Linked DNA regions of Notamacropus eugenii. The protein of the gene in region 3 purifies or fractionates together with the protein of the main gene of each other region. This does not show direct contact. Links are inferred from orthologs where the notes say so. Each region holds a gene or a part of one and is shown on either strand. Other genes may lie near its edges.

Region 1 (9,831 bases), on a different chromosome or scaffold from region 3:
GCCAGAGTTATCTCTAACTTCTAGTTTATTGGCTAGTCTCTTCCCTCTTTCTCTTTTTGCTCCTACAATTCTCCTGTCTAGAATGCTCTCCTGACTCACCTCTGGTCCTATTCATCATAACCTCTTTGAGAACTGGCTCCACATTCATCTCTCTCAAGCAGCCTTCCTTGAACCCTCAAACTCCTATGTTCATACTATAGATTATTTTTCCTTCAGTACCTGTATCTACAATTGGCACAAAATGATCCTGTATTTTTTTGCCCTTAGAGAAAAAGAATACAAATACATAAAATACCAACTAGATTATAAGCAAATATTTTACTTCTTTTTCGTTGGCCATAGTACAACACTGTACACAAAGTACAAAGCTGGTACCTAAGAAATGCTGAATGACTTGAATGAAATCAGTAAGTGAAATAAAAATAAGCTCAACTCAAGTGTCAGTCTCTACATGAGGCCTTCCTTGACACCCAATCCCAGTTGCTAGTGCCACACCTCCAAAATTATTCTGTGTTTAAATATCAGACATAGGGTAGAAACTTTTTTTCCCTCTGAATCTCCAGTATCTAGTACAGTGTATGTATTCAATAGGTGCCTAATAAATGTTGGTTGACTCAATTAATAAAAAGATAAAATCAAACATTTCTAAATAAGGTGATTTGCTTCATTAAAATCATTATTACAATCACTTCTACACACTCCCCCCTTTCCTTGGAAGTAGAGGTTCTTAGCCTTTTCTGTGTCAAGGACTCCTTTGGCAGTCTGGTGAAATCTATGGATTTCTTTGTAGAATGTTTTTAAATGCATAAAATAAAAAATATAAGATTATGGAGAAAATTAATTATGTTAGAATAAAGATGTATTTTTTCCCATCCAAGTTCACAAAACTATTAAACTCTACCCACGGACCCCTTAAAGATCCCTACTTAAAGAATCATTCCATTTCTTCCTTGTTTTCCAAGCATGCCAGATTTTTTTTTCAGTCTAGTCCTGATTTCATCAGTGTTGGGAGGTCCAGGTATGGAAATTCTCTCCACCTACACAAATCTGCAATTTATCTGTAACAAATCTTGGACCTCTGAGAAGTTAAGCAACTTGTTCTTGATCATACAGCTAGTTTGTGTGAGAAGAATGATTTAAACCCAGGTCTTCCTCACTCCAAGGCAGGCCTTCTATTTTCGGTGCATGCAGCTTCTGAATTCCAGATAAAATTTATCACCCTATTACTGTATGAAAGACAATCTCAGTATCAGAAGGCCATTTAATCTAATTTATAACTGAATCAGGATACTCTCCACTTTAAGGCCACTAGTGAAAGGAAATCTACATTCCAGGTCCACTTTGGACAATTAGAATTATCAGGAAGTATTCCTTTAGAAAGGGCCTAAATAGTCTGTCCTACTCACTTTTCTTTGTTTTGCCTTCTGAGGATAAATAGATACAGTCTAATTCTTCGTCCATATGAGAGACCTTCAAATAATTACAAAGATATCCTACCATCTTTTTTTTCCCCAAAAAGATCCTCAGAAGGTAAGCTCTCAAGATCCCTGACCTTACTGGGGGCATTCCTCTGGTTCCTCTCTGGTTTGTCAACAAATATGGTCTTTCCTAAAATGTGGTACCCGGAGTATCACAATACTCTAAATGACATCTGAGCAGAACAGGATAGTCAGACTCCCACTTCTGGACGCTACACTTCCCTTGATATAGTAAGCCACATACAATGTTGTACTGCTGACTCATTTTGAACTTCTTAGCCTTACTTTCACAACTTTTATGCAGTCTACTACAATCATTTCATTACATCAACACTATGTTTATATGACACTGTGGATCAAATATAAATTAATAATCAACGTATGTAAATAATAAGGATAAGACATATGTGATTTCATTGTGACTAACTTCCTCTACTAGAGTCGGTCAGCACCTTCTTGGCAATTTTCCTGTCTTAAAAGAGGTGCCTGGAGCACCAAGAAGTTAAGTCACATTGCTCAGGGTCAGAGTCTCTGTGTCAAAGGTTAGATTTGAACTCAGGTTTTCCAGGTTTGGGGGGCCAGCTCTCTATCCACTAGTATAAGCAGCCTGTCATAAGTAATAAGTACAGTTAATAAAGTATAATTTTGAACTTTCCAGTCTACTATTGTATTTCGTTTTTCTACCTGAAGTTTCTAGTTTTAAAAGTCTTTTAAAAAATCAAGCCTGAGACTGGCACCAGACTTTCGTAAACTAAACAAAAGGGGCAAAACTCTTATCTTGGCAATAACCTTCAAGTTCAGTGTGCCTTCATTGTAAAGTAAGGCTCATTAACTAAACAAACTTGCCTTTTCAGTCTCGTACCTTTCAAGGAAACGCTAAGATCTAGTTGGGTTATTGTTGAGAGTCAATGATGAGTTAAATTCCCATAAATTAATCAGCATTTTGGTGGTATGCCCAAATCTACAGCAGACGTGCATTTTTTAAAAACCCATCTAGGGAAGAGAGAAGTAAGAAAAGAAGGCGGCGGCGGTCTTGTACTTCTCCAGTTAAATCCAAAAGGTGTCATACAGGGGAGAATGCCAAGCCTTAACAAATAATGAAAAAGTATCCCATGGAAACACTTAGAAGTTCCCATCTTGCCCCAAATAAATCTGAATTTTCAGGGCTATAAAGCATTTCGGCTGTGGCTGAACTTTTCCAACTAGAGTCATCAGGGTTTTCCAAAATGCCAAGCTGGTGACCAGAAACCTACTTTACTAGGAAGAAAGGGTGCGTGAGTTCCAGGGGAGACGAGCAAAACCAAGTCCTGGACATTGTAGGCAGAGCTGGTCGAAGCCACGCGCTGCTCGGCCGTCGGCTCCCTCCAGTCCCCCCACTCACTGTCCTGCAGGACCTTGGCAGCGCGGCTTCCCCTAGTCCTTCTCCAAAGCCCGTGTTCACCCCCCACCCCCACCCCGTGCCCCCTCTCCAGCAGCACCTCCTTTTAGAGCACGATTCCCCCCGTTCTGTGCTTGCCAACCTTGGCCCGCACCCTCCAGCAGCACCCCTGGTCCCCTCTCTCCAACAGCACCTCCTTTTTCAGCAGGGCTCCCCCCCACGCCCGTCCTACCCCGTGCTCGCCTCCCCTGGCCCCCACCCTCCAGCAGCACCCCCGGTCCCCCTCTTCAGCAGCACCTCTTTTTTCAGCACTCTCCCCCCGTCCCGTCCCGCGCTCGCCTCCCCGGGCCCCCGCTCCAGCAGCACCCCCGGTCCGCTCTCTTCGCCCCAGCCCGGCCCCGCTCACCCTCCAGCAGCACCTCCTTTTTCAGCACGGCTGCCCCCGTCCCGTCCCCGCCTCCCCCGGCCCCCACCCTCCAGCAGCACCCCCGGCCCCCCTCTTCAGCAGCACCTCCTTTAGCAGCGCGGCTCCCCCCGTCCCGTCCCGCGCTCGCCTCCCCGGGCCCCCGCTCCAGCAGCACCCCCGGTCCGCTCTCTTCGCCCCAGCCCGGCCCCGCTCACCCTCCAGCAGCACCTCCTTTTTCAGAACGGCTGCCCCCGTCCCGTCCCCGCCTCCCCCGGCCCCCACCCTCCAGCAGCACCCCCGGCCCCCCTCTTCAGCAGCACCTCCTTTTTCAGCACTCTCCCCCCGTCCCGTCCCGCGCTCGCCTCCCCCGGCCCCCACCCTCTAGCAGCACCTCCTTTTTCAGCGCGGCTCCCCCCGTCCCGTCCCCGCCTCCCCCGGGCCCCCGCTCCAGCAGCACCCCCGGTCCGCTCTCTTCGCCCCAGCCCGGCCCCGCTCACCCTCCAGCAGCACCTCCTTTTTCAGCACGGCTGCCCCCGTCCCGTCCCCGCCTCCCCCGGCCCCCACCCTCCAGCAGCACCCCCGGCCCCCCTCTTCAGCAGCACCTCCTTTTTCAGCACTCTCCCCCCGTCCCGTCCCGCGCTCGCCTCCCCCGGCCCCCACCCTCTAGCAGCACCTCCTTTTTCAGCACGGCTCCCCCCGTCCTGTCCCCGCCTCCCCCGGGCCCCCGCTCCAGCAGCACCCCCGGTCCCCCTCTTCAGCAGCACCTCCTTTTTCAGCACTCTCCCCCCGTCCCGTCCCGCGCTCGCCTCCCCCGGGCCCCCGCTCCAGCAGCACCCCCGGTCCGCTCTCTTCGCCCCAGCCCGGCCCCGCTCACCCTCCAGCAGCACCTCCTTGCCGGCCCGCTTCAGCGCCTGCACGGCCTGGTCATGGGTGGCCTGGCGCAGGTCGGTGCCGTTCACCGACAGGATGGCGTCGCCCAGCCGCAGCGCCCGGCTCTGGTCGGCCGCCAGCCCGGGGAAGATCTTGGAGATGAGGATGGGCATCCGGTTCTCGCGGCCGCCCTTGATGCTGATGCCCAGGCCGCCCGCCTCCTGCTTCACCACCCGCACGCGCCGCACGGGCGGGGAGCCCCCGGCCGCGGCCGCTGCCGTGGCCCCGGGAGGGCTGGGCGGGCCCAGGCCGCGGCTCGGGCTGCCGGGCAGGGAGTCCCCGCCGCCCCCGCCGTTGGGGAGGCCGTTGAAGGCGGCCAGCACCGGCCCCAGCGGAGGGTCCGTCTCGGCCGCCGCGTCCCCGGTCAGGCTCAGGCTCTCGCCGCTCAGCTCGGCCACCACCCGCACCCAGCGCTCCCGCAGCAGCAGCTCCACCAGCCCCGCTTTGGTGGCCCTGGTCCACACCGCCATGGCCGGCCCGGGTCCCGCCGCCGCCACAGCCGCCGCCGCCACCGCCGAGGCCAGGTTCCTTCCCAGCCGGGAGTCCCGGCGCTTCCCCCTTCCCGCCTGCGGGGGCGAGGCCCCGCCCCCGGGCCCGACCATGTATTATTCATGAGAGGCCCCGCCCACTCCTCCGTTTACCGCGGGGGCGGGGCCGCTTCCGGGAAGGAGGGGGAGAGACTGGTTCTGGCCAGCCCGGGGGGAGCTTAAGGTGCCGGGATCTCCCAGCACAAGGTCACTGCTGGGAGGGCTCTTCGAGCCGAGAAAGTCCGGCCGGGATGGCTTAGAACACAGAACGCCAGGGCTGGGAGGGAACGTAGAGCATGGACTGTCAGACCCAGGAAGGGAGCTTAGATAGAACACAGAACACCAGGGCTGGAAGGGAACGTAGAGCATGGACTGTCAGACCCAGGAAGGGAGCTTAGATAGAACACAGAACACCAGGGCTGGAAGGGAACGTAGAGCATGGACTGTCAGACCCAGGAAGGGAGCTTAGGGCTGGAAGGGAACTTACTTAGAGCATGGACTGTCAGACCCAGGAAGGGAGCTTAGGGCTGGAAGGGAACTTACTTAGAGCATGGACTGTCAGACCCAGGAAGGGAGCTTAGGGCTGGAAGGGAACTTACTTAGAGCATGGACTGTCAGACCCAGGAAGGAAGCTTAGATAGAACACAGAATGTCAGGGCTGGGAGGGAACTGAGAACATGGAATGTTAGAGCTGGGAGGGGCCTTAGAAAATAGAGCCCAGAGCTGAACCAACCCTCAGAACACAGAATGTCAGGACTGAGAGGGACCTTAGAATTGAGAGTGTCAGAGCAGAGCTGGCAGAGACTTTGTTTTGACCCCTGCAGTAACAGAAGGGGAAGCCAAGCTGCACCCAGGGCACCACTTAGAACATTCTGAAGCCAGCGTTCCAGACTCCAGATTCAGGGTTCTGCTATTCTTTATGGAAACAGAATAACTGCTTTGGGCTCTAGCTGTCTCCTTAGCCCTCAACCACAAAAAAATTTGATCTGTTTCTGCCAGATGTCTTAATAAATGCAACTGGGGAAAATTAAAATTCCTTCTGGTAATTTCTTTATTAGCCTGTGAAATTGGGTTGCATGGGCCCCACGTCCAGCAGCTTCTTTCTGAGCTCAAACAGCTCAAAGGGTTTGGTCTACAAAAGAATTGTCAGCAGCCGGATTGTCAGAGTGGCCTCCAGCACCAGAGAGGAGGTTCACACATTTCCCACAGATCCTAAGGGCTCAATAAATAATTCTTGTAAAGCTGAATTGAGATCAAAACAGGCTCTGTTCATGGAGCCTGTCCATAAAGTACATGCTGACACCTGTAAACTCCAAAGGATCCATGTGCTCTTGGAAGATGGAAGATTCTGTGACTTTTTTTGTCTGCTTAGGGAACTCCAGGGGTCTGAATTCCCTCCACCAATACGGAACCCTCCAGGGACTTAAGTAGAATTAAGTAGAGTTGTCAGAAGAACAGGGACTCAATGATATGACCAGGGTTTCACAGACTTTAAGAGAGCAAATGTGAACCTAACATCTTCATAACTCCAACGCCCCTCATAAATCCCCATTAAGTTCCTCAAGGGTAGGTTTTTTTATTTTGTCTTTTGAGTCTAGCACCTAAACACAGTGCCTTACAGATAGAATGTGTTTTGAATGAATAATACTTGATATTTGTAGGGAAAGCATGCTCTAGTGGATACAAGACTGCCCTCAAAACCAAGAGGACCTGAATTCAAGTGCTACTTCTGAAGCATACAGACCATAACCCTCCCCCCTACTCCTCATTTAATCATTCAGTGCTCTACGCAACTTTCAAAGACAGTTAAATTGCAGAAAACTTGCTTTGGTAGAGGGAATTTCCACACCTGGGAATTCCCCAAACCAATTAACTCACAAATCCAGTTCCCTTTTACCAAGGATACATTTCTTATTTGACCCTTATAACATCTATAAGGTAGATGCTTCAGGTTACTATCTTCATTTCATAGATAAATGAATGTATTTACTTATAAAAATATTTCTAGATATGAGTTTTCTAGATAAATGAGTTCAGAAAGGCTAAATGACCATATGGGGATCACATATCTAAAGTGAGTTGGAGTTAGAATTTGAAATGCATGTGGTCACTTCTAACAACAAGTCTTCATCCTCATGATGGTAGAGGGTAGAGACTGAATCCAAACAGTCTCAGAGGGAGGAGGATGGGAAATAAGCCCAATAAGCATTTATTAAGCACCTATGATGTGCTTTGCTAAGCACTTTACAAATACTCTCATTTGATCTTCACAGTAACCCAGAGAGGTAGGTGCTATGATTATCCCCATTTTGTTGTTGAGGAAACTAAGGCAAACAAAGGTTAAGTGACTTGCCCACTGTCATATTACTGTTAAATGTCTGAGGCCAGATTTTAACTCAGGTATCCCTGATTCCAGATCCAGTGCTCTATCCTGTATACCTCTTACCTCCTTCTCAAAGTCTTAGAGTTAGTTTTTTTAAAAATCTAGTCAGAGATTTATCAATCCCATTAAGATATAATTCCGACCTTACTAAAAATCATTAAAATAGGATTTGTTTTGCAATAAGGCAGGATTTTCCAAGTTGTAAATTTCATCAAAGCTAAAAAAAGCAGACCTCCCCCTAAATCCACTGCAAAGAGACCTCCTGGATCTGCAACAGGTCCAGATATGCCCTGTCGTCCTGCACAGCCTGGAAACACACACATACAACATGCACGTACGCACGCACGCACGCACGTACCAGGCCCATTAGGATAACTACAAAGTAATTTGATGATCAGAAGGGCAAATTATATAAAATTGAGATGTAGAGGGAAAAATGTTAGAATTTGGATGGTATGGGATGCTTCTTCTCTTTTTAAAAAATCTCTGGTAGACTTCCCCATGAAGTTTTAGTTTTGAAGTTTTGCCATATCAGCAAACACTTTAGCTTTGCACTCAATATCCTTCCTAATTTGAACCCAGCCTTCCCTTTCGGCCTATTCTACCCACCATTTCCTTAAATGAACCTGCTAAACTGGTTTATTCATTGTCCCTTTAAATATGCCTTTACTATTCTCTGCCTCCGAGTCCCTTCCAAAATATTTGTCTTCCTCTTGTGTCCCTAGAAATTCTATCCAACCTTAAAGGTTTGGTTTAAATTCTACTGAATCCATTAACTGACCTGGACTGGTAGAACTTGAAAGGACCTTAAATCTAAGTTATATCACTTGGAAAATGAGTCCTCCACTTCCTCTTCCAGGAGGACTATAAAAGTCTTATTGGAGTTGGTGTGAGAATTAGCACAAGAATTCAGGCTTCAGCTGGGAGGCTAATGGGTTTTTCCAACATTATAACAGCTAGCCCCAGCTGAAATCCATCTTTCCTCTGACCGCCAAGAACATTGAATTCTAGGAACATTTAGGAATCACCTAGCAGGTTGAAGAGAAGACAAAGGAAGAGCCCATCAGTCAATGCCGTCAATGAGCATTCACTTCTTGTCTCTATCACTTATTTCACAGTTGTCATTTATTAGCTTTGCTGATTACCCCAGCTTGTGTTTCTACTCAAATTGGAATCTCATTTCTCATCTGGCTGCACTCAGCTAGGATTTCTCTGACTTTCTACCATGCCTCAGGGACCTCATCATTGGGAAGATTCATCATTCTGCAAGATCATATCAACCTTGATATTCACATCCCATCACTACCTTCTGCTTAGGACATACATGTCTCATTTTCCACCTGGCTGCATGACTTCAGGATTTCTGGCTTTTCCATTTCACCATCTCTCAACTTTTCAGATTCATTTTGCATGTTTTCTACCTTTAGACTGTTATGCCCTTAAGGGACTGGAACGGTTTTTTTTTTTTAATTTGTATCCCCAGTGCTTGGCACATAGTTTAAAAAAATGTTTATTGACTATTGACTAAATTGTTCCAGTACCTTTTGTTTAAATCTCCCCTTGGGAATCTAATGGGTTATTTACCATAATACTGATTTTTTTTTTTTATTGTATAACCATGCATCTCACTTGGTATTTTGCTCATCTCTATACCCATCAGAGATCCTCAGGTGAACTGAAAATTCCTGAGGGAATTTTTTATCTTTAATAATATAAGAATAATAAATATCATTCATATAAGACAACATACTGTTACTGGTACAAACTTGTGAGTAGGTAGTATTATTATCCCAATTTTACAGAATAGGACACTGAGGTTCAGAGAGTAAGTAACCTAGAAGTAATAGTATTAACAATAATGAGGACAATAGCTAGAATTTATAAAGTGTCTGTTATGTGCCAGGCACTGTGCTAAGTATTTTACAAATATCTCATTTGCTCCTCACAACACCCCTGGGAGGTAGGTTCTGTTATAATCCCCATTTTTCAGTTGAGGAAACTGAGGCAAACAGGGTTAAGTAACTTGCCCAGGGTCACACAGAGTAAGTAAGGTGGACTTTAGCGTGTGTAAGGTGGATTTTTGTTATTCTTCTTAGAGTTCAGTTCCTCAGGATCCATGGACAAAATCTCTATTTCCCAGGCTCATGCTTTGCACTCAGTGTCTCAAGGTAAACATCTCCACCACACTTGTGCAGCGTTACATAATGATAAATAATATAGACATTTGTGCTTAAAACTGAAAATACCCACTGCAACTGCACAATGAGATATAATGTAAAATTGTGAGGCTGTTGTCAGCAATATGCCTTCTTTGTCTGTTGCCCTATAAAGCAGGTGGGCACTGATCAGTAAGTGGGGAATCTGTATTTGCCTCAACAGGCCCCCACTGAGGCTTGCGGGGATTTAAGGGAGTGCACAAGTTATGCCTGTCTTGACTGACTCCATCAAGAGAGATGTAGAGGTAGCTGCCCCTCCTTCACTCTGGTCTTTGTGAGAAGGGTGTAGAGCCAAGGAAATATTCATAGCATCTATGGGGGCTGTGAATATGCTGGCATAATTCTGAATTGCAAAATATAACAGACAGTAGAAAGCCAAATCCATCATAGCAACAAAGAAATCTATACACAATAATACAAGGGGCACTACTATCCCCAAGCCTTCCCCCTGCTAGGACTTTCCCACAAATGAACAACTCACATCTTGCTGCCTGCTTCCTCTCTCTCCCTCAG
Region 2 (10,087 bases), on a different chromosome or scaffold from region 3:
TTGCTCCTTCCCTCCATTCCTTCCCTCCTCTTCCTTCCCTCCATCCTTCCTTTCTTCCTTCCTTCCTTCCTTCCTTCCTTCCTTCCTTCCTTCCTTCCTTCCTTCCTTCCTTCCTTCCTTCCACCAAGATAGCAGTCATGGCTACATTTACTGACATTTAAAGAAATGGCTGACATTTACATGGACTTTTAAGTCTTGTGGAACATTTTACCTCCATTATCTCATAACAACCCTGGGAAGGCATTACAGGTTTTATTATTCTTATTTTATAGATGTGGAAAACTGAGCATCTGAGTTAAATGCCTTCCTATCGTCACATATATAAGTGTCAGAGATGAGATGAAATACAAGGAAAAGTCGAAGAAAACACAACAAATGTGACAGTGGTTACAGTCAGAGGATTTAGGATCCAGGAGAGACTATAACTTGTCATTACATTTTATTTGGGGGGAAAGAAGTGAATAATTTCTGAATGATAATTACTGACACTGAAAGCCACTGAAAAGCAGGCAGAAGGAAGTCACTACACACTTGAATTTGCATTTCACTAGGGGTGGGACTGTGAATACTACTTGGCACTGGTACCACGTCAGGAAAACTTTGCTGCTTTGCACATGGGCACACAGTCCCCCAACTTTCCAATGGCAAGGGCTGAGTGGTTCTGATCAATAAAACGCAGGGGTGTTTTAAGCTGTTACTAAGGACCAGGCACTGAGCCTACAAAATGAAAAGTCAAATAGTGCCTGCAGAACTTATATTCTATAGGAAGAGACAGCTTATATGTAAGTAGATATATAGAAAAGAAACAGACGTTAACTTTGTAGGATGGGGAGTGGAGGCAGCAGGGAGGAGGGATCAGGAAATACTTTTTGTAGGAAATGCTACGTGAAGTGAACTGAGCTTGGAAGGAAACTAGGTATTCTAAAAGACAGAGGTGAGGACAATGTATTTAAGGCAGTGTATCCTCTGAAATTCCTGCTCTCTAATTAAGAAATGTTCTTGCATTTTAGACTTCATTCTTTCATATTCCTTCCTTCTTCTGGCAGATATAGTTCTTATCCCCTCCCCCCAAGATACTGCTTCTCCTTGGCTGATTGCCATTCACCCCTCAACAAACCTCTACTCTGAATTAGTCCTTTTTTAGTGGAAGTCTTTCCTGGTCCCTCCGGTGGTGAGTATCTTCCCCTCTAAAAGGTATCATGTATATAACTATATATATATATTTACACACATATATGAAACAATATAAGTATATATATAGATAATATATGTATGTTATGTATACTGTATATATAATTATATATGTGTATATGGGCACGTGTGTGTGTGTGTGTGTGTGTGTGTGTGTGTACACACAAAAACTGTTTCCCTATTAGAATGGAAGCACTTTGAGAGGAGGTCCTGTTTCTGCATTCCTGTGCATCTGGAGATCCCTAACAGTGTCTGAAAAGCTTTTATTAAGCAGTAACTAAGTCCCACTAACTGTCCTGGGGGCATCAACATAGAGAAGAGGAAGGAAAAAGAAAACACAAATATGTAAAAATAAATGCTAGGAAATTGGGGGGAGGTAATTAGAAAAAGCCTTGGATAGCATGTGGTGCTAGAGCTGAGCTGTGAAGGAAACTCGGGAATTCTAAGGACAGAGGGGAGGACAACGTGTAGTCCAGGACTTGTGGCAGGTAAAGACAGAGACAGGAATGCCACATGCATAGAACCTCCAGAAGGCCAGTTCAGAGGAAGACTAGAGCCAGCCTGAGAAGGGTTTGAAATGCCAGAGAGGAGATTGTATTTGCTCCTAAAGGTAGGAGGGGCCACTAGAATTGATTGGGGGAAGGGTGAAATGGGCAAGCCTTTGCTGTGGGAATCCCACCCTGGCAGCTGGGAGAACGGAGCTCTGCAGATGATCTAACAAACAGAATTAGACATTAGTTTTTTCATTTCCTATTGCAAATATTTTGCCTGAAGTTACTCATTGAAAATTGTATGATCTCCTCTGGTGATGCCAGTCAGGACTGAAATGGTCATAAAGGTGTGTGGTTGGCTGTGGGGAGAGGTGGCAGGGCCCAGGGTGGTATATAATGGAAGCAAGCTCTCTGAATTAGGCCCCAAAGAGACTATCAGCTACTGACCAAGAAAAGATAATAGTCTTTTGCACTCCCCTCCAAACACACACACACACACACACACACACACACACACACACACACACACACAAACTCACTTTGGGTATGTGCCTGCTTCCTAATAATTTACTCACCTTAATCCTCCCTAAGCTAGAGATCTTCTCCTTGTCTTCTATGACCACTTTAAGACTTGGCTGGGACATTCTGTTTTTCTTCTTGGAGTTGGTGGGACTGTCAAAATCAAAGCCGCTAACAACAGCCCTGCGGTAGGAAGTCGACCTCAAGCCTCTCCGCAAGGACCCAGGACTGTCTAAGTCGCTTTCTGCTTCTCCTTCTCCATCACTTGCAGGAACCAGTGGGGCACTAATGGGGTCCACCATGCTTCGGACCTTAAAGACTCTCTTATGGGGCTCCGAGTTTTGACTGCTGGATTTGCTGATTTTAATCTCAGAGGCCAAGCCCTTGGGGATAATTTGTTGTTTCCCTACTTTGAGGGCAGCTGGGCTGTTGGTACTCAAAATGACCACAGGCTTTTCTGGGTTGGAAGGCAGACGCTGGGGAGACAGTTTTTGTTCAGGGGGAGCCCTCTGTGGGCAGGGCGAGAGTTTCAAAGGCGCCCTCTCTGGGTCCTTGGCAGTATGGCTGGGTGGTGATAGTGGGAGAGCAGGAGAATTGTTAAGAGAAGGCACAGATGCGCTGAGAGAAGACCCTGTTCTGACATTCGGTCCCATTAGTTCCTCGTCCGAGTTCCTTGGGACAGAAGCACTGGGAATCCTCAGGGGGTGCCCTGCTTGAGTCTCTGGGGATGCGACTGTACCTGGGTAGCTCACAGAAGGGTTGGCCACCATCCTATGGCCCCCGGGTGACTTTTCGGCCGGCACCCTCTGGGAGACAGCTCTGAAATCCAAAGAGAGAGCCTTCCCATTGGGCACAGACCCTCTAGTAGGGCACCACAGCACGGGGCTCCTTTGAAGCATCCTACGGTCTGGAGACGGAGATGGAGAAGGTGAAGCCGAAGAAATGCTCCCGCTGTGGGAAGGTTCCTTCCCAGTGAACATCCCTCTGTCCTCCACAGGGAAATCCGTGATCAGCAACCCTGTGGGGCTCTGGTAGGACTGGGGTCTGGGCTTGCTCCGGACCAGCCGCTGGGGCTGCGGGGTGGATCGCCTCCTCCATAAAGGGGTAATGTTGTTGGGACTCGAAAAGTCCACTTCGCTCTCGCCGCCACGGTCCATCGCGGACCCTAGTGGGAGCCCCGAAGGAGCGGGGAGACAGGGCCCAGGAGGGAGACACCGCAGCCGGGTCGGGCTGGGCTTTCGTCTCCTAAAGAGAAGGCAGAAGTCAGAGAGGTAGCCATCACACGAGGGCAGTCGACCAGCGCCCCCTGCCCCCACCCCTTCATCCGTGGGGGAGGGCAAGGGGAGGGCGGACTGCTTCACTTTACCGCCATCCCCGGGCGACCGCACAGGGGCTGGGGGCGGGGTGGGGGGCGAGTGGGGAAGCTGTTCCACAGGCTCCCCTTTCCCTCCTCCCAGCCTCTCCCCCATCCTTGAGCCTGGGGAGGGGGAGGGGGCGCCGAGGCTCCAGAGACCCACCCCAGGAGAGGATTTCTCATTTCCCGGGGAAACTCTCCCGTGGAGGAGCCCCCTTACTCACTAAAGGGGCGACCATCCCTCCGCCCCTTCTCCTTCAGAAACCCTTCGCAGGAGCGATCGCACCTACCCTCCAAGAGACTTCAGAGCCTAGAGCCCCGACGAACCCGTCTGCCGGGTGGGTGGCCCGGGTCCCGGACTGCAGCCCAGGCGTAGGCTGAGACGACGGCGGGAGCAAAGAGCCGCCCCAGAACCCTGGCCCGGCCCCAGTGCAGCGGGCCCGCCCTCGACCCGCCCCTGAGAGCAGGACCCCGCCCCAAACCCGCCCCTACCCCTGCCCCGCCTGTCCCGGACCCTGCCCGGAGGAAGGGGCTTCCATTCCAACCCGGGAACAAGTGAGCAGCTAGGATCGGGAAAGGGAGGGTGTGCCTGGGGCCCGGCCCTGCCGAAGGCAAGGACGCGGGGGAACAAAATCTGCGACCGCCTTTAGGGAGAGAGAAGTCGGGCGGAGACCCGCGGACAGTCCAGAGGAGGCGTGGGTGTGGCGCCCAGAGAGGGAAAGGGGTTTAAGCTGTGCCCGCTTGGGGTCCCCGAGATCCCCTGAAAGGGGTCCTGGGCAGAGCTGGCCTGAGGGTACGGGGGTGGGGGTGGGAGGAGGCCGGGAGAGGCGGAAGGAAAGACGGAGACACCCAGAGAGACTCGACAGAAAGAGACCTAGGCAGATAGAGACGGAGAGACCGACTCAGAGACAGCGAGAAACCGGGACTGACTTAGGAGACAGAGAGACATAGGAACTCCGAGAGATAGCGACGGAGATGGAGAAACAGAAAGGAGCCTTCGCGGATTCTGCACGGGAGCAGCTTGGTTTCACCAGAGATTGTTTGGCTGCCAGAAAAGAGCAAGATTTCTGAAACCTCAGCTCCCGGGTGGGCGGCCTGGGGAAACCGAGGCAGGCGAAGTCGACCAGGGATGGGTAGCCATCCCTCCCGGGCCTCAGAGCTGATGGCTTCCTGGATCTTCCATTCCAATCACAGGTGGACCGCTAGTCCAGCCCCCTGGTCTTATAGATGTGGAAACTGAGGCCCAGTTAGGGGAAGTGAACGGGTTGGGACCATCGGAATCCTGACTTAGAAGACCTCGGGGAAGAGAAAAGGCTTACTTCCAGAACGAGACTGGCGGCTTTACTGACCAAGAAGTGTGTGTGTGTGTGTGTGTGTGTGTGTGTGTGACAAAGATGGTGGTGGGCTTTTACTAGAGTTCGTAAGAAAGCTTTTTACCTGCCATTTTTAAATGCCTGCTCTTTGCCCAGAGTTGTAGTGCCAGGACTAATCGAAACATTTATATAGCTTCGGAATTGAAAGGGGCTTTCGTAATCCACCCTCTCCAACTCCCCATAAAATGTGCGTCGCCCAGTATGAGATACGAATCTTGAACTTGGGTTTTCAGATTTTAAGACCACTTCTCTTAATCTACATGTTTTTGTTTCTTTATGGTTTCATAACTATTTCATTATAGTCCATATCATTATAATCGTATGAATTATATGCATTTTAAAACATTCTGAGGAGAGACCCATTGGCTTCCCCAGCTTGCTAAAGGTGTCCAGTACACACACACACACACACACACACACACACACACACACACACACACACACACATCAAGGAAAGCTGATCTAAGGAGAAGGGGGCTGGGGTGGGGTGGGGGTGGGGAAAAGGCTCGGACGAGAGAAGAGGATTTCCAGATTTTCTCTCTAGTGAAGGCACAAAAATTCCAGTTTAACGTTCACAACTTTCACCTCCATGCCTCTCTCTTCCTCCCCGCACATATCCAATCAGTCGTCCACTCTCATAGATTCTACCTCACAGAATCTCTTGCACCTATCTGCCCCCTTCTGTCCACATATCTCATGATCCTAGCTCAAACTCTTTTTACTTTCACCTGGACCATTGAAATGGCCCTACTTGGCATCCTTACCTCAAATCTATCTCCTTTCCAGGGAATCTTCGAAACAAGTGCCAGCTTTATTTCTAAAACTCCTCTGCCCAGTACAATCCAGTGGATTCCTATTGCCTCCGGACATCAAATACTAACTCCTCTTTTTGCTCTTTAAATTCCTTATAGCCATCAACCTACCTTTCCATCTTCATAAATTCCCTCAATTCATTCATATTCTCTTCCATCCACCAAAATTTGTCTTTCTGCTGTTCCTCTTGTAATATGCTTCATTGGTGGTGCCAGTCTCTGTCCCTTTGCAGGTATTGTCCCCAAATCTGGAATTCACCCCGTCTTCACCCCTGCCTTAGAGAAACCCAAGTTTTCTTCAAAACTTAGTTCAAACATCTTGTCCAATAGAAAGCCTTTTCTAATCCCCCAGAAGATCGTGAATCCTTTCGTCAACCCACCAATGACCATTTCCTTGTGTGTGTGTGTGTGTGTGTGTGTGTGTGTGTGTGTGTGTGTAGTTATGTGCCCCTATGGACCTTAAGCTTCTTGTGGACAAGCCATTTCATTTTCTTTGTCTTTGTATCACCAGGAGCCAGAATAATGTTTGCTACAACAGAGGTGCTTAATAAGTGCCTTTTGACTACCACCAGTATTTATTCAGTGCTTATGCCCAAGGCACTGTGCTAAGAGTCACACCTAGAAAACCAACATCTGGAGGCCATCTAGAGGGTGCTAAAGAAGTAAGCGAAATGGGGAAGCGAGGTGTCAAAATAGCCCTGGAATCAGAAGGACCTGAATTCAAATATGGCCTTACATACTTACTAGCTATCTGTGTGACTTTGAGCAAGTCACTTAACTCTGACTGCTTGCAAATAAAAAGGTAAACGAAATGACAACATATCAATAGATCCAAGATACTTCTAGTGGTGTGCTGATAAATGTTAACTGATTCTCCAGTAGAAAAAAAGAATCATACATGCCACTCCTTTAAGTTTAATCTATATTACCAATTTTTTCGCCCTCATTTTCTTCAGTCTAGGAATCAGTAAAACAATAAATCAAGGCCTGATTTATATCGTTTGCCAGTTCCCAAGGTGTAAATGTTCACACTGGAAATTAACAAACTCTCATGATATGACTCCAGCCTACACTGGGCTTCCCTCATAAAGAGATAGAGTGATCATGTGGGGAGGTATGGAAAGAGAGGAAGACATTGGACAGTACCTTGCTGTGGTTAGATGTTTCACCATTTGTACATTTTCCACACCATCTTTGAGCCCCTTGGAACTTCTCTGAAGGCAGAATCTAGAACTGAAAGAGCCTTAGAGTTCATCTGGTCTAATCCCCTCAGGTTTTTTTGTTTTTGTTTTTGTTTTCTCCACCACAGATGAAGAAACAAGCCAAGAGAAGTTGAATAACTTGCTCAGGGTCACGCAGGTAGTAAGTGACAATGCTACTTCGTTGTGTAGCCTTTAGAGTGGGTCTTCCTTGCCTTACCCCAGACTCTCGCTTCCCATCTCTTATCCTACCTTCACATCCTCCCCATCATGGTTTGGAAACACTGACAGATAATGTGTGGTATGAGTGGAGGTAGATTCAGGCTTTGAAGAAACTGGCTAAAGATTTACACAAATGTTTATTTCCAGAAGATCCTTCTTTTATTTTTGGAAGAACAAATATATAAGATCAAACTTGACCACTTAGCATTGTTTCCCTCCCTGGAAAGGGGATGAGGGGGCTGGTTAAGGAAAGGTTAGGACTCAGTAGTTAGACACGAATGAGAAACATCATAACTAGGTATTATCAACTCATCTGAGATGGATAGCAGGTGGCTTTGCTTGTTCCCAGCAAAAATCAGAGGCAAACAAAGTTTGTTCACCAAAGTTATAGGGGTACCCATCAATTAGGAAATGACTGAATAAATTATGGTACATGTGCATATAGAATACTATTATGCTGGAAGTAGGGTAGCTGGGTGGTAGGGTGAATAGAGTGCCAGCTCTTGAGTTAGGAAGACCTGAATCAGACAGTTACTAGCTTTTTGATCCTAGACAAGTTCTTGATGTTCCTCAGTCTCAGTTTCCTCATCTGTAAAATGGGGATAATCTAATACTACCTTTTAAACCTACCCCCATAAGGTTTTTGTGAAGCTTAAATAAGGTGATACATGCAAAGCACTTTGCAAAATTCAAAGCACTACGTACACATTGATTGCAACTATAATTATGGGAGATGAAGTTGAGGTCTAGCAGCTTATCAGCCACAGAGCAAAAAATGAGAGAAAATGGCATTGTGAGGAACTGAGTCTGAATGTTCTAACTCTGGAACTAGTAGCACTTCATCTAGCGCATCGTGTAGCCCGTATGTCCACATCAGCCAAATGACGGGGCTAGACCAAACAGTTTCTGAGGTCTTTTCAAGTTCTAAAATTCTACGAGTCCACAGATGTCACACAGATGGAAATCTCACCTTGGAAAACTAATAGACATCCTGGCTTAGGGATCAAAGAATTCCAGCGCTATGGAGAACCTTGCCCTTCATTTTCAGAGAGGACCAATGACATCATGGCATGGTTTTTGACTTGTACATAAATTGCATTTAAATGAAGCAAAAGTGCACAAAGTCATCAGCCTCCCTTTCAACATCACCAAAATCTAGTGGTTAGACAAAAGTCAAGAGGACTGGTGATCGTCCAGGATGTCTACTCCTAACCCTAACCCTAACCTTGGTGTCTTCCATGCCTGACCAAGCTCTAAGCAGTCCACAATGCCTGCTTCAGCCACCTTCATGGCTATTGGAACAAATTGTTGGAGAACCTAAAATGGAAAACTTAGAGAAGCTCGGAATAAGGACTAGTGATGTGCATGGATGGGCGTTGCTTAGGGAATAGTGCTGTAATGATGTTGTGTTTCCTTGTCATTTTATTTGGATTGTTCTGAAACTTGATCAGTAAGTGAGAGAGCATGGAGTTATGAGTAGAGAGCCAGACTTATAAAGAGGAAGGTTCAAGTTATGTCTCTGACTGTGTGACCTTGAGCAAGTCACTGAATTTCTATGTGCACCCCAGAAACTCTAAGATTATTAGTTGCAGGGAAACTCCTAATCTGTACTGATGAAAACACAGGTTGAGATTGAATCCCCCCAAAGGAGGGAAATAGTTTAGGAAGCACTGAATATTTGAACCTCACAAAATCCTATGAAGTTTCTGTATATCCCCATTTAGCAGATGGGGAAACTGAGTCTGAGGAAAGTTAAATGCCTTGACTATGGTCATAGAGCTAGAAACTATCAAGGTAAAATTTGAACCCAGATCTTCATGGCTCCAAGTCCAGAATTCTAGGCACATCCTCATGAACCTCAACTGTTTTTATCTTTCTCTTTTTAAGTAGTGACAAAACCTAATTGCATCTTCATTGAAAAAAAAAAGGAAAAGTCTATGGACTTCTGTTTCCTGTTTCAGAGATTTGAAGAAATAATTTATTAATGGTCTGGCATTATCTTTGAGTAGCTAGTTAATGTTTTTCTTAGCAATAAAAAGAAATTCTGTTGCTTGCTCTCAGGTTTTTAGAGAAATCAGAAATTAGTGCCACAGAACACAATCCTCATTTATACTTTAAAGTTTTCTTCTGTTCAAGTCAGATGAATTTAAACACTAAGTAACAATATAGAATGTTTTTTCAAGATGTATTTTTAAACTTTGAAAAAAATCCATTTATTATTTGCCTTAAGCCTCAAAACAACCCTGTGAAGTTTGTGATCCAGCTATTATCCCCTCATATAGATAAGAAAACAGTGACTGGAATGGGAGGAGGACACGTTTAGTGAATCACCCCAGGTCATATATTCAGAAAACGTCAGAGGAGAGATTTGAAGTTGGTCCATTCTTACTCCATGTCTCATGCCTGCTGATTTGACACTTTGTCTCCCCCAATTTAGCTTTGAAACATCCCCACCTCCTCCACCAGAAAAAGCCAGTGATCACTTGGTTTTGCGTGTGTACACCTAGCTGGCCTTGCAACTGGCTAAAAAGATAATATTCTGACTGCAATTTGGACTGAAACTTGCCACAATTTTTCCCCAAAAAAGGGTAACAGAATTTGAGCTAACTACCAAGTTGCAATAGTAACTAACGCAGTAGTAATACTTTAAAAAAAGTTGAGAACAGACACTTAGCAACCATTTCAACGTGCTCAAGATTCACTAACAGGCTAAAAAAAGCTGAAGGTCTGAAAGCCAGGGGGATGTTACACTAGCATTTGCTACAGCCACTGAATGAATGATTAGAACATTGTTCTCAGGGAAAAGACCCAGAGAGTCTGCAAATGGTTTAACTCTGACTAGAAAGCTAGCAGAGGAGAAGAAAGAAAGAAAAACACAAAACTGTTTTCAAACTGCCTTGGAGGGGAGCAGCAAAAAAATCTCCAA
Region 3 (10,376 bases):
TTATATATCTAGAACAACTCATTATCTTTCTTTCCCCCAATGCTTTCCTTGACTCTTAAATGTCCTCAAGCTACTGAGGGCATTTTTGTCTTCCCAATCATCCCAGCTGGCAACTCATCTTTGATTCTTCATTCTCAATTACCCCAAACAATCTACTGCCAAGTCCTTTCATTTCTATCTCATATATTTCCCCTTCTCTCCTCTGATTCACTGCCCTGGTGCAGGCCCTCATCACCTCACACTTGGACTATACTGTAAGAGACAGCTAGTTGGCTCCTTGCCTCCAGTCTCTTCCCACTCCAGTTCATCCTCCATTCATCTGCCAAAGTGATCTTAAAGCATACATCTGAACATGTCATTTCCATTTAATAAACTCCAGTGGTTCCCTATTACCTCCAAGATCAAACAGAAAATTCTGTTTGGCTTTTAAAACTCTTCTCAGCTTAGACCCTTTTTACACTTTATTTCAGTGCCCTGTATTCTACAATCTGGAACACTGGCCTAATTGCAGCTCCTGGAACATGACACTCCACCTTCCATACTCTGCACTTTCTAACTGGCTACTATACCCTACGGCTGAAACACTCTCCCCTTTCTCATCTCTGCCTCCTGGCTCCCTTCAAGACTCTTCTCAAATGCCACCTTCCGTAAGAAGCCGCCTTCTTGTTCTCTCTCTCTCCAACCCATAGCCCCAGTGCTTTCCCTGTGGGGTAAAGTTAGCTCCAATTTATCTCAAAAATACCTCCTAAGTGTGAGATGGTCTTACCTGGTCTTCCCTCATTACAATATGAGCTCCCTGAGGGCAGAACTCTTTTTGCCTTTTTTTGTAACCCTAGAACTTAGCAGAGTGCCTATCACTATCCAGGAAACCACAGAAGGTAAAATCCATGTCTTGGTTTTTTCAATTCAGCACTTACAATCAAAAAGCATTTTTTGTTTTCAGACAGTAACTCCCCCAAATATGAAGCATTACACAATAATATTAAGCTTTTAAAAATATTATCATCTACCTGAACAATAACATTTTTGTTACAACTTTATTGTTAACTTTGCTCTTGTTCTGCAATGTTGTCATTTCTGGGGGGCTGATGGGGGATGAAACAAGACTTAATATTTAAAAATTTGTTATTTTCACAAAATGCAATCATAGGTATACCATCAATAAGGGTGAAAATTATGTGTATTTTGTTGTTCCCCTTCCCTTAAAACAACTATAAACAAGGGAGTTTATGTCTTCGTTCCAACAATTATTTCAAATTTTCTTATGATATATATAATAGTATCCATTGCTTATTTTATATTAAGTTTGCACAAAGTACAATAAAATAATGTAAAAAATTTCTAATATCTTCAATTTAATTCCTTCCCTTACCAGCAACAACTATATTTTCTTAACCAGTAAATCTGCAAATGTTAAAGAATCACCATTATAATTTAATTCTTGTCTCTTCAAAGGTATTAACCAACAAAACATAATATTGGACTCTTAAAATTTAGAGAAATGTTTCAAATGTAAGTAATCTATAGAAAACAGAGGTATTTTCAAAATGTCCTGATGTAAGGATGTATTTCCCTCACAGATTAATTACTCAAAATAACTATAAAGGCCAAAATAAATTTGTCCTAGGAAATGTTTTCCAGTCTATCCCCATTCCAAAGTTACTGAAAAAGAACTTGCAAGCTAACATTTTTAGAAACTGTAAGAGGATAATCTCAACAGGAAACACTCAAACCCTCCTAAAACAAGCTCAAAGTATATCAAAATGTGTAACTTTCTTACTGCGCCTAACAGTGTGGTCTTGCACAAAATAAGATTAACTGATATTTGTTAAACAACCGAATAAATATAAAATTGTTTCCCTGTTGACTTGCCAAAGAGATTATTTCCTTCAAAGTACTTTCAGCAGGAACTTAAAGCCAGTTATGGCATAACTCAAAACACCTTATAAGACTAGTTGGAGAGAAACAAAAGTTGTAGACTGTCACAGTAGCTAGATAACAATATTGATGTGCTTTCAAGCCCCTTCTCTGTGAATTTCTTCAAGGTTTTTCAATCCACAGTTCAACACATCCCAGGAAAAAAAAAAATTACGTGCTTTCCAAGTGTCTACAGAAGGCAGTCCCTAAGCCAGTTTCAATAGATGCTGCAAGGATTTACTTATAACCCTCTCAAACTTTCCAAAGGTCAAGAATCACCATCACTACATTCTTTCCTCAAAATGCTGTCTTCAAAACACAGGAGAATTCACTAAAGGAATCAAAGAAAATAAATGGCGCTCTTGCAATACCAAGTCCAGATGAGATTTTTGTCTTCTATGGATTTCAATAAGATTTGACTCTTCAGAGGAATTAAGATAGATTCAAAACGTACCAGTTCAAAACTAGCTTTTCCTCTCAAGCCAGTCTAAAATTAACTGACCAGTTTGTTCAACTGTTCTGAAGCTTTCTTTGAGCTTGGAGGGAGGGGGAGGAAAAGCAGAAATAATCTCAAGTAATCAAAATACTGACTGCCAAAAATGACTCCATCATCTATTTTAAATAGACTCTAACCTAACTTGTATCATCAGTGATCACAGACTGTCTGAGCTGAAAAAGACCTTCTAGTTCAATTCTCATCCAAGAGATAAGGAAACTGAGGCTCAGAGTGGGAAGTGATTTGTCTACAGTCACACTTGTAGCAAGCAAAGCCAGATTTAGCCTTCTTTCCATTGCAACACATTCTAACTAAAAGAAAAGAAAATTAAGTTAGCAAAACTGGTTTCTGATCACTCTTTCCAATGGTAATACTACTATTTTATATTTTTTAATTTCTTGAATTTTCTATGTATACCTAAAATACTTTCATTCTGTTTTTAGTAAGATATCCTATTTTCTGAAATTGCTAAAGCTTCAAATAATTACCGCACCACAGTGTTAGGAGAACGTTAGGATATACTAGTTGGTTAAACAAGAACACGTAGGCATAGTAATCAATGAGTAAAATATGTAAGGTGTACTCACAATTTCATCATGTGGGAACTACAGTTTATTACAATATCTGAACCTCCCTTCTAAACCTATGCTCAACATTATCAGCATACCCACTTTTCATACTCAGGAATTAGTGAAACAGATAAAATACACATCTGCAAATCTACAACTTCAAGTACCCAACTTGGTAAAGGACACTGGGAACTGCAGGGGCAGAGTGAAGAGGTAAGTGCCACAAGTACTTGCTAGGGTTAAGAAATGGAGAGATTAGGAAAAAGTCATTTTTTTCTTCAATATTCTTCTTGATACTCTGAAGAGTTAGTATCATAGGATCACAGATCTAGAGCTGTCCATCTGAGAGTCTAGTCCTCTCATTTTACAGGTGAAGAAACTGAGGCTCACAAAGTTCAAGTGACTCGTCCAAGGTCACACAGATAGTCAGCTTCACAGGCAGGATTTCAAGCCCGCTCTAAGGTAGTTAGACTCAGTTCTTTCCCTGCAAAATGCCTTCGAGTTCAAGGTAGTTTCTCTAACAACGGATCTCAGACTTCATTCCCAGTTCTAGACCTTAGAAGACAATAAAGCATTCTCCCCCAAAAGCAATGAGCTAATAAGGACCCTTGTCAAACTCATCTGAGAGAGGCCAGTTTCACATCTTGCCATTCAAACTTCTAAATGTGCAAATTACATGCAGAACTAAAATAAAGCCAACCTCAAATCAACAGCATTTCATTCACAAATTCGTTAAACAGAATTGTGCATTTAAGATAGTCTATAAGGGGAACTATTAAAAAACGAATTTAAAGGATGGAAAAAAAACCCAAAGGAGTGACTGCAGATTTCACACTCCATCAGCACTGTTATTCATTGGATCCCCTGGCTTTTTCCTAGTGTCATTCCTCAACCAAGATAAAAAGGATGAGAACTTTGGCTGTCACTGTCGTATACTATACCAAACTAGTGACTCAAAGCATACATCTATCTTTCCCACGCCAAAACAACTATCCAAACTCCAGTTTGACAGAAGCAATGAACATTTGTTTGAATAATTGTTGCATAACGAGACATTAAAAACCCGAATCCGGTCTCCTTTGAACCTTAATCTAGGTAGACTTAAGCGGCCACCTCCAATAAGGTCCTGGGGTTGGACACAAAGGCGTATATCAAGTCCGGTGGATACACGCCCCATAAACCAAGCAACCGTCCACTTCGGCCCCCCAGCCCCAGCTCGCCCCCGACCCACTCAACAACCAACAAAGATGCCAGCCTCTCCTCGTGGCCTGAGTAGGTGAGGTGGTACCGATAACCCAAAGTGCTCCCGGAGAGCGACTACCAAGTCAGCTCTGCCAAGGCCATGTGCGGCAGCCGTCAGATACAATGTAAACAGCCCGAAATCACGCAGGGCTGTGGGGGAATGAAATGATCGGATCCCTCCGGGGAGGGAGGTGGCAGGGCCCCGCTCGGGCTCCGGGCTCAGGTACGCACGGGGATGACCCGAGGAGGCGGCGGGCGGGGCGGGCCAGGGGCGCCAGCGAACGCGTTTCTTCCCAGGCACGCTCCCCTCCCCCCAGGTAGGGGAGGACTTACTTGCCGATCACCTCGCACAGCTCGTACACATCCTCAAACAGCACGTCGTCGTCGGCCATGGTCCAGGGGGGGAATCAAACGGAGAGGGTGCCCAAGAAACAGTCACGCCGCCCACAGCAGTGTTTCTTTGCTTTTCTGTGGGTGCTTTTTGTTTTTCACCACCACCCTCCGCGGGCTCCCTTCTTCGCCCTCTCAGCCGGGAACGCTCGGTCCGGCACGACCTGCGGCGACGACGGCCAAGGAGGACTCTCGGGGGGATTGCAGCCAGCCGCCTCGTCCTCGTCCTCGTCCCTCCTGCTCGCCTCCAGGCCGGGGGACCGCCAGCAAGGATCCTCCGGCGGCGCGAGCGGCGGCGGCACAGCCCGGGCCGCGGGGCCGCCGCCTCCTTCCGGTCTCCCGGACCGACCGCCGCGGCAGCCCCTCCGCTCGTCCGCCTCTGCCCGGCCGCACCTTCCCCTGCGGCGTCCGCGGGCGGCGGCGCCTCCCAGCCCGCCCCGCTCTCTCCACCGCCTGGCGGCGGCGGTGGCTCCTCGGGCTAGCGGGGGGGCCGGGGAAGGACCATGAAGGACTCCGGCGGCGGGGGGGGGGGGGGCGGCGGTCACGGTTGGAGGCGGGGGCAAAGACGCCGCTCCCCCCCCCTCGTTCTCCTCTTCCTCCTCCTCCTCCTCCTCCTCTCGCCGCCGCGCCCGGGCTGTGTGAGCGAGCGAGCGCGCGCCGTGGGCGAGGGGAGGGGGCCGAGCCGGGGCGGGGTGCGATGGGGGAGGCGGCGGCCGCCGAGGCGCTCTCCCTTCTTCAGTCCCCGAGCCGGGCGAGGAGCCGCCGCCGCACGTCCCCTCCTGCGAGCTCCTCCGAGGCTCCTGGCGGATGACTCCCCCGCATACACACACACACGTACATACACACACGCCTCACCGCCTACTCGTACTCTCCTTCCCCCACCCCAGCCTCCCTCTCTCCTCTCCTCTCCCTGTCTCTCTCGGGCCGCTGCAGCGGCAACAGCGGCCGCGGCTTCCAGAACCCCAGGCCCCGCCCCCTTTTTTCCTCCCTCACCGCCCCCCCTCCAGGAGGCGGTGGCGGCGGGAGAGTAAAGGGGAGTAGGATGGGAGTGCACGGCGCATGCGCGCGCCGGTGAAACGTCACGGCGAACGGGAACGAGGGAAAATGAGGCGGAGAAGGGATGGAAAGGGATGGGGAGAAAGGCGGGGCGCGGTGAAGGGGGAAGGGTGCAGTTGCCTGGGGGGGCGCTCCTGCAACGACGGCGGGGTGGGGAGTGGGGGGTGAAGGGGAGGAGGATCTGTAGGTGCGTGTGCAGGTTGGGAGGGAAGAAGGCTGGCTTCCCTGCGTCGCCCGAGAGAAGTGGCACGGCGTGCAGCCGCCTGCGTGAAGGTGGCAGTGCTGTGGGCTGCAGAGAAGCTCCGTGCCCCCTCTGCTCCCCGGGGAGCGGGACCGCGCTCCAGCTTCGTCCTTAGTGAATGGGAAAGGAAGGCTCCTCCGTGACGGTTTCAGGCCCATCCCGTCATTCTTTACTGAAGTGAAGGGGGTGGGGAAGGCGGACTCGTGTCCAACCATATGGAGGAGGACGCTAGAAGGCTAGCGGGTAGCTGTAGACAAAGGTATGCCACATAGATTGTGCATGCCACCCATGCGACTCCTTCCAGCGGAACAATTGTGTTAGCCATTTAAAGGGGGAAACCACTTAGGTTTGGGGTGTTCGTCCTAGCGCAGTTTTGAGTTTTGATAGCTTTTGCAACACGCTGTATTTCCCCCGTGATCCTGGGTGTGCTGACAAACACTGGTCATAGTGTGCTTTGCCCTCGGATCAAAGCAGGGAAGTGTGGGAATTTTTTTTTTTTTTTACTTTCCCATTTTCTTGTCCTTCTAACCCTAACAAGCTAACCCAACACGGCCACCACGAACCAGGAAGAAAATGCAGCCTAAGGAATTGCAGACAAGGTGCAGTGAGTATCCTGAACTCTTAGCGTGAGGCAGCCTGGAAATTCTGCTTCCCTGAACACGTGCAGAATGTGCAAAACATCCTTCAAACAGACCTCCCCTCCCCCCTCCATTCAGCGTTCAAAGAAAAAGTGCCCAAGCAGTTCTTAAGTGACAAGCGCTACAAAGTATCTAGTAAAATTCTCTAGTGTAATAAAGTAACAGCTACAGTATTCGCTAAAGAGAAATACATAGTTTCTTTTCAAATGTTGCTTGTGCATTGTGCATGTACTTGAACCCTCTCTCAAGAAACAGAGCTCTCCCTCCTCCTTTCTTCCCCAAACCTGCTCCATTAAGAATCCTGGCCGTAAGCGTTCATCTTACGCATCTCAGAAGACTCCAATAATATTAGCAAGTGCAACTTTTTCCTAGAAGAGCAATAGTTTTGCTTCAATTCAGAGTCCAGTAGTCCCTGGAAAGCAACCAAAAGTTGCATAGATGATATTCTGTGCTATTGCTGAGATCTCCAAAGTGGAGGGATGTAGAACGACTCCAAGGATGCCCCCATTGCCAGCTAATGACTTTTCTCCACAATTGGCCCGCCGCTTTCAATATTTCTCTACCCCTTCCCCAATCCTAACTCCCACCTTTGGTCTCCAGTTTTTCTACCTCAAGCTTGGGCTCTTCAGAAAGGTTATTACCTAAGCTGACCAAGGCACCCTATACTGCTTGCAAGGAATACTCCTATCCTCTGTCCCAATCCCATCATTGCAAGGGGTGAACCTGTGCTGTCAGCTAATGTATGATGAGTAAGACATTCCACTTTTCATTTTTCGGTAAACAAGAGGGAGTAGTTCAGAACAGTCATGGGTAGGTTGTGTTTATATTACCTTTGCCCAAAAATTCACCCGTCTTCCAAACACCTGTTTTTGTGAATGGCAGCACCATCATTTCAGTCTCCCAGGGTTTCAGCTATTCATTATCCCTGCCTACTCACAACTAAAACCGTTCTTTTCTAAGTTATCTACAATCTCTTCTAACAAACAAACAAACAAAAAAACCCCTCATGACCATCTTTATGCAAATACATCTCGGAGTCTCTCTTCCAGGTAGAGTTAGAAGAAATATAGTGTTGTGTACACAGCATAAAGTAAAATACTTAAACTAATTGACAAAAACAAGCCTTACAACTTTTTACATCTTAAAATTTTTTATTATGCAATATGTCCTGTCGCATTTCACATGATTTGGCATTGAGTTCACAGAATTTTGACAAGTAAAATGTAATTCTTGATCAAGAACCCATCCTTATACAATTGAAATTTAAGTGTACCATTGACAAATATTTGATTTTTTCCAAGTCTATTATATAAATTTCCATAAATTTCCAATGGAATGTAAATCAGATGAGTTTCCAGATCACTGAAGGATGATTATCTCCAATTCTTGGATAAATTTCTTAATTGTTTTTCTGATGGGTGACATGATGAAAGATCATATTGTAGGATTCCATTTCCATTTGGGAATTTCTGTAATTATGGAACAATTCTACTCAATAAATATACATATATGTGTATGTGTGTATATATACATATATGTATATATACATATACCTACATAGGTAGATAGAAATATAGAGTGTGTGCGTATATGTATACAAGAATTCATCATTCCCTCAGTGGAGACAAGACTTCCAGTACCTTTGGAATTAAAAAATACTCAAACATTTATTGGCTTACTCAGACTTCTGATAAGTTTTGATAAAGCCTTGAATGAAAAATGAAGTTCATCAATAAAAATCACCTTTTCCTAATCTTCCTCCCAATGACGATATTGTCTTGCCCATGACAAAAAGTTTTTTCAGCAGTTTTCTTTTTTTTTTATCTGATCTTCCTGTTCTTTCAACTGCAATAAGCCTAGGAACTGTAGAGGGATCAATAAGCAGTCCCTCCAACTGCAAGTTTCCCCCAAAACTCTTTACTTGTTCTTCTGAGAATTAGGCTGTCCCAAACCAATATTTTGTCCAGTATTGACCTTGTTTTTCATTTTCACCTGTACTCACCTCTGTGTTTCAGCAAGATTGACCCTGTTTCATTGAGGGTTGGAATGGTCTGCCTGTAGATGCCCTCTGTTTCTCACTTTTTCTGAAACTCAGCTGTTGCCATTGCCAGGTGGAGGATATTCAGGACTGGCAATAGAGCACAATGACTCTACCCTGGGATATGTTCATGGAGATGTATACATTCCAGAGGTAGTTCAGTAAATGGGGTAAGGGGGCTGGATTCATTTGCAGGCTGTCCAGGAGATTCAGAAAAGGTGGGTTTGGGGTTCCATAGTCGCAGGCTGAGCGCCAAGCATAGACTAGGCTGAGGCTGCAGTAGACCCGAAAGGAATGGGACAGGAATTGTAGAATTGCTCTGTCTTCTGCTGCTGACTGATTCAAAGAGACCAGGGTAATTTCATCTCAGGCCCCTGGAACTATCTTTCAGAACTATCTGTTGTTGAAGCCCCATGTCACTGGAAAGGGTTAATGCTTAAAAATGACTGGGGCAGCAAAACTGCCTAGAGCCCAATGGCCAGGGGAACAAACAGGTTGACTATCAGCCTAGCCTGAATTTTCTGCCTGTCTCTTTTATCTTCACCTTCAAAACTCCACAGCAGTCCTGTGCTTCCACTTGTTGTACAAATCAAATAATAAGACCAAAGTCAGAGGTCTAATTGCAAATTTCAGGCTCAAGATTTGAACTCAAGTCTTCTCAACTCCAAGACACAGTGGATAGAGCACTAGATTTCTAGTTAGATCTGAGTTCAGATTCTTTCAGTTACTTACTAAGCTGTGTGCCCTATGGTAAATCATTTAAGCTCTCTCAATCTGTTTCCTCATATCCAAAAAAGACATTTTTCTTATTACACTTTTTATTGAAATGTCTTTTAAAAAGTGATATGTTCCTGAATTAGATTCAACAGATATTTATTAGGAATCCAGTAAGTACAAGGAAGATTTCTACAAAGTACTATAATCAGATCAAAAATCAATAACTTATGGTCAGAATCATTTTTAATTCTTAGGCCCCTGTCATAGCACCTCTTCCTTCCAAACTGCCATTATCTTGTCTCACCTACTCTGTATACAGCTTGTATCTACATATTTATATGTTGACCCCTTTAGCATTAGCACATGAGATTCTTTTGGACAGGGACAGTATTTTTGCCATTCTTTGCATAAGGGGTGTGGTACTCATGTATATGTCTTCATAGATTATCTAAATGAAATGCATAGAGGAATTAATAAATATCTCTGGAATCATCCACCCATTTCAAAGAAAAACTGCAATTCCTACCTTGAAGGACCAAAAGATTGGTCATTTTCTGAGAAGAGTACTGGTCTAGAATTAAATCTCTCTTCCCCAAAATATTGCTGATTCAGGGACATGATTTTTATGTGCAGAACAACCACAACAAAAAGCTTGGGCTTTTTTGATCATTTCATAGTATGTTTGTTTGCTATTTCTATTATTAATCTTCCCATTTTTTCAAGATTTCTTTTTTTGTGCTTGATTGAAGTTTGCTAATTTTTCAGTTTTCTAGTTTATTAAATTACTCACTCAGCTCATTAATTCTTTTTCACTTTTTAAAAATGTTTTTGGAGATATAATTTTTCCTCAGAAGACTGATTTAACTACATCTCAGAAACTATCATTTTCTCTTATCACTATCATTCCTTTTTATATAGTTACTGTTTCTATGATTTCTCCCCCCCCGCCCTTGGCCTACTCTTTACTCTGGTTATTGTTACTTAGTTTCCATTTATGTTGTAACTTTTGATTGTGTTACATGTATTTGTTGATATCTTATTGTCTTATAGATGTGTGTAATAATTTTGCCTT

What was found.
Region 1: the proteins of CASK (region 3) and SNTB2 purify together in Homo sapiens (affinity purification with mass spectrometry; 3 studies listed by BioGRID and IntAct, with this or other methods). This does not show direct contact. The link is inferred for Notamacropus eugenii from reciprocal best matches to the Homo sapiens genes CASK and SNTB2.
Region 2: the proteins of CASK (region 3) and ARHGEF26 purify together in Homo sapiens (affinity purification with mass spectrometry; 3 studies listed by BioGRID and IntAct, with this or other methods). This does not show direct contact. The link is inferred for Notamacropus eugenii from reciprocal best matches to the Homo sapiens genes CASK and ARHGEF26.

What each region holds. Positions count from the first base shown.
Region 1 is NC_092872.1:708,564,886-708,574,716, reverse strand, and holds the start of SNTB2 (beta-2-syntrophin), read right to left. Parts: upstream 4,806-9,831; 5' UTR 4,795-4,805; coding exon 4,137-4,794; intron 1-4,136. UniProt on the Homo sapiens protein: Adapter protein that binds to and probably organizes the subcellular localization of a variety of membrane proteins. May link various receptors to the actin cytoskeleton and the dystrophin glycoprotein complex.
Region 2 is NC_092877.1:371,108,933-371,119,019, forward strand, and holds the start of ARHGEF26 (rho guanine nucleotide exchange factor 26), read right to left. Parts: upstream 3,962-10,087; 5' UTR 3,846-3,961; intron 3,447-3,845; 5' UTR 3,359-3,446; coding exon 2,258-3,358; intron 1-2,257. UniProt on the Homo sapiens protein: Activates RhoG GTPase by promoting the exchange of GDP by GTP. Required for the formation of membrane ruffles during macropinocytosis. Required for the formation of cup-like structures during trans-endothelial migration of leukocytes.
Region 3 is NC_092876.1:432,452,199-432,462,574, reverse strand, and holds the start of CASK (peripheral plasma membrane protein CASK), read right to left. Parts: upstream 4,747-10,376; 5' UTR 4,617-4,746; coding exon 4,558-4,616; intron 1-4,557. UniProt on the Homo sapiens protein: Multidomain scaffolding Mg(2+)-independent protein kinase that catalyzes the phosphotransfer from ATP to proteins such as NRXN1, and plays a role in synaptic transmembrane protein anchoring and ion channel trafficking.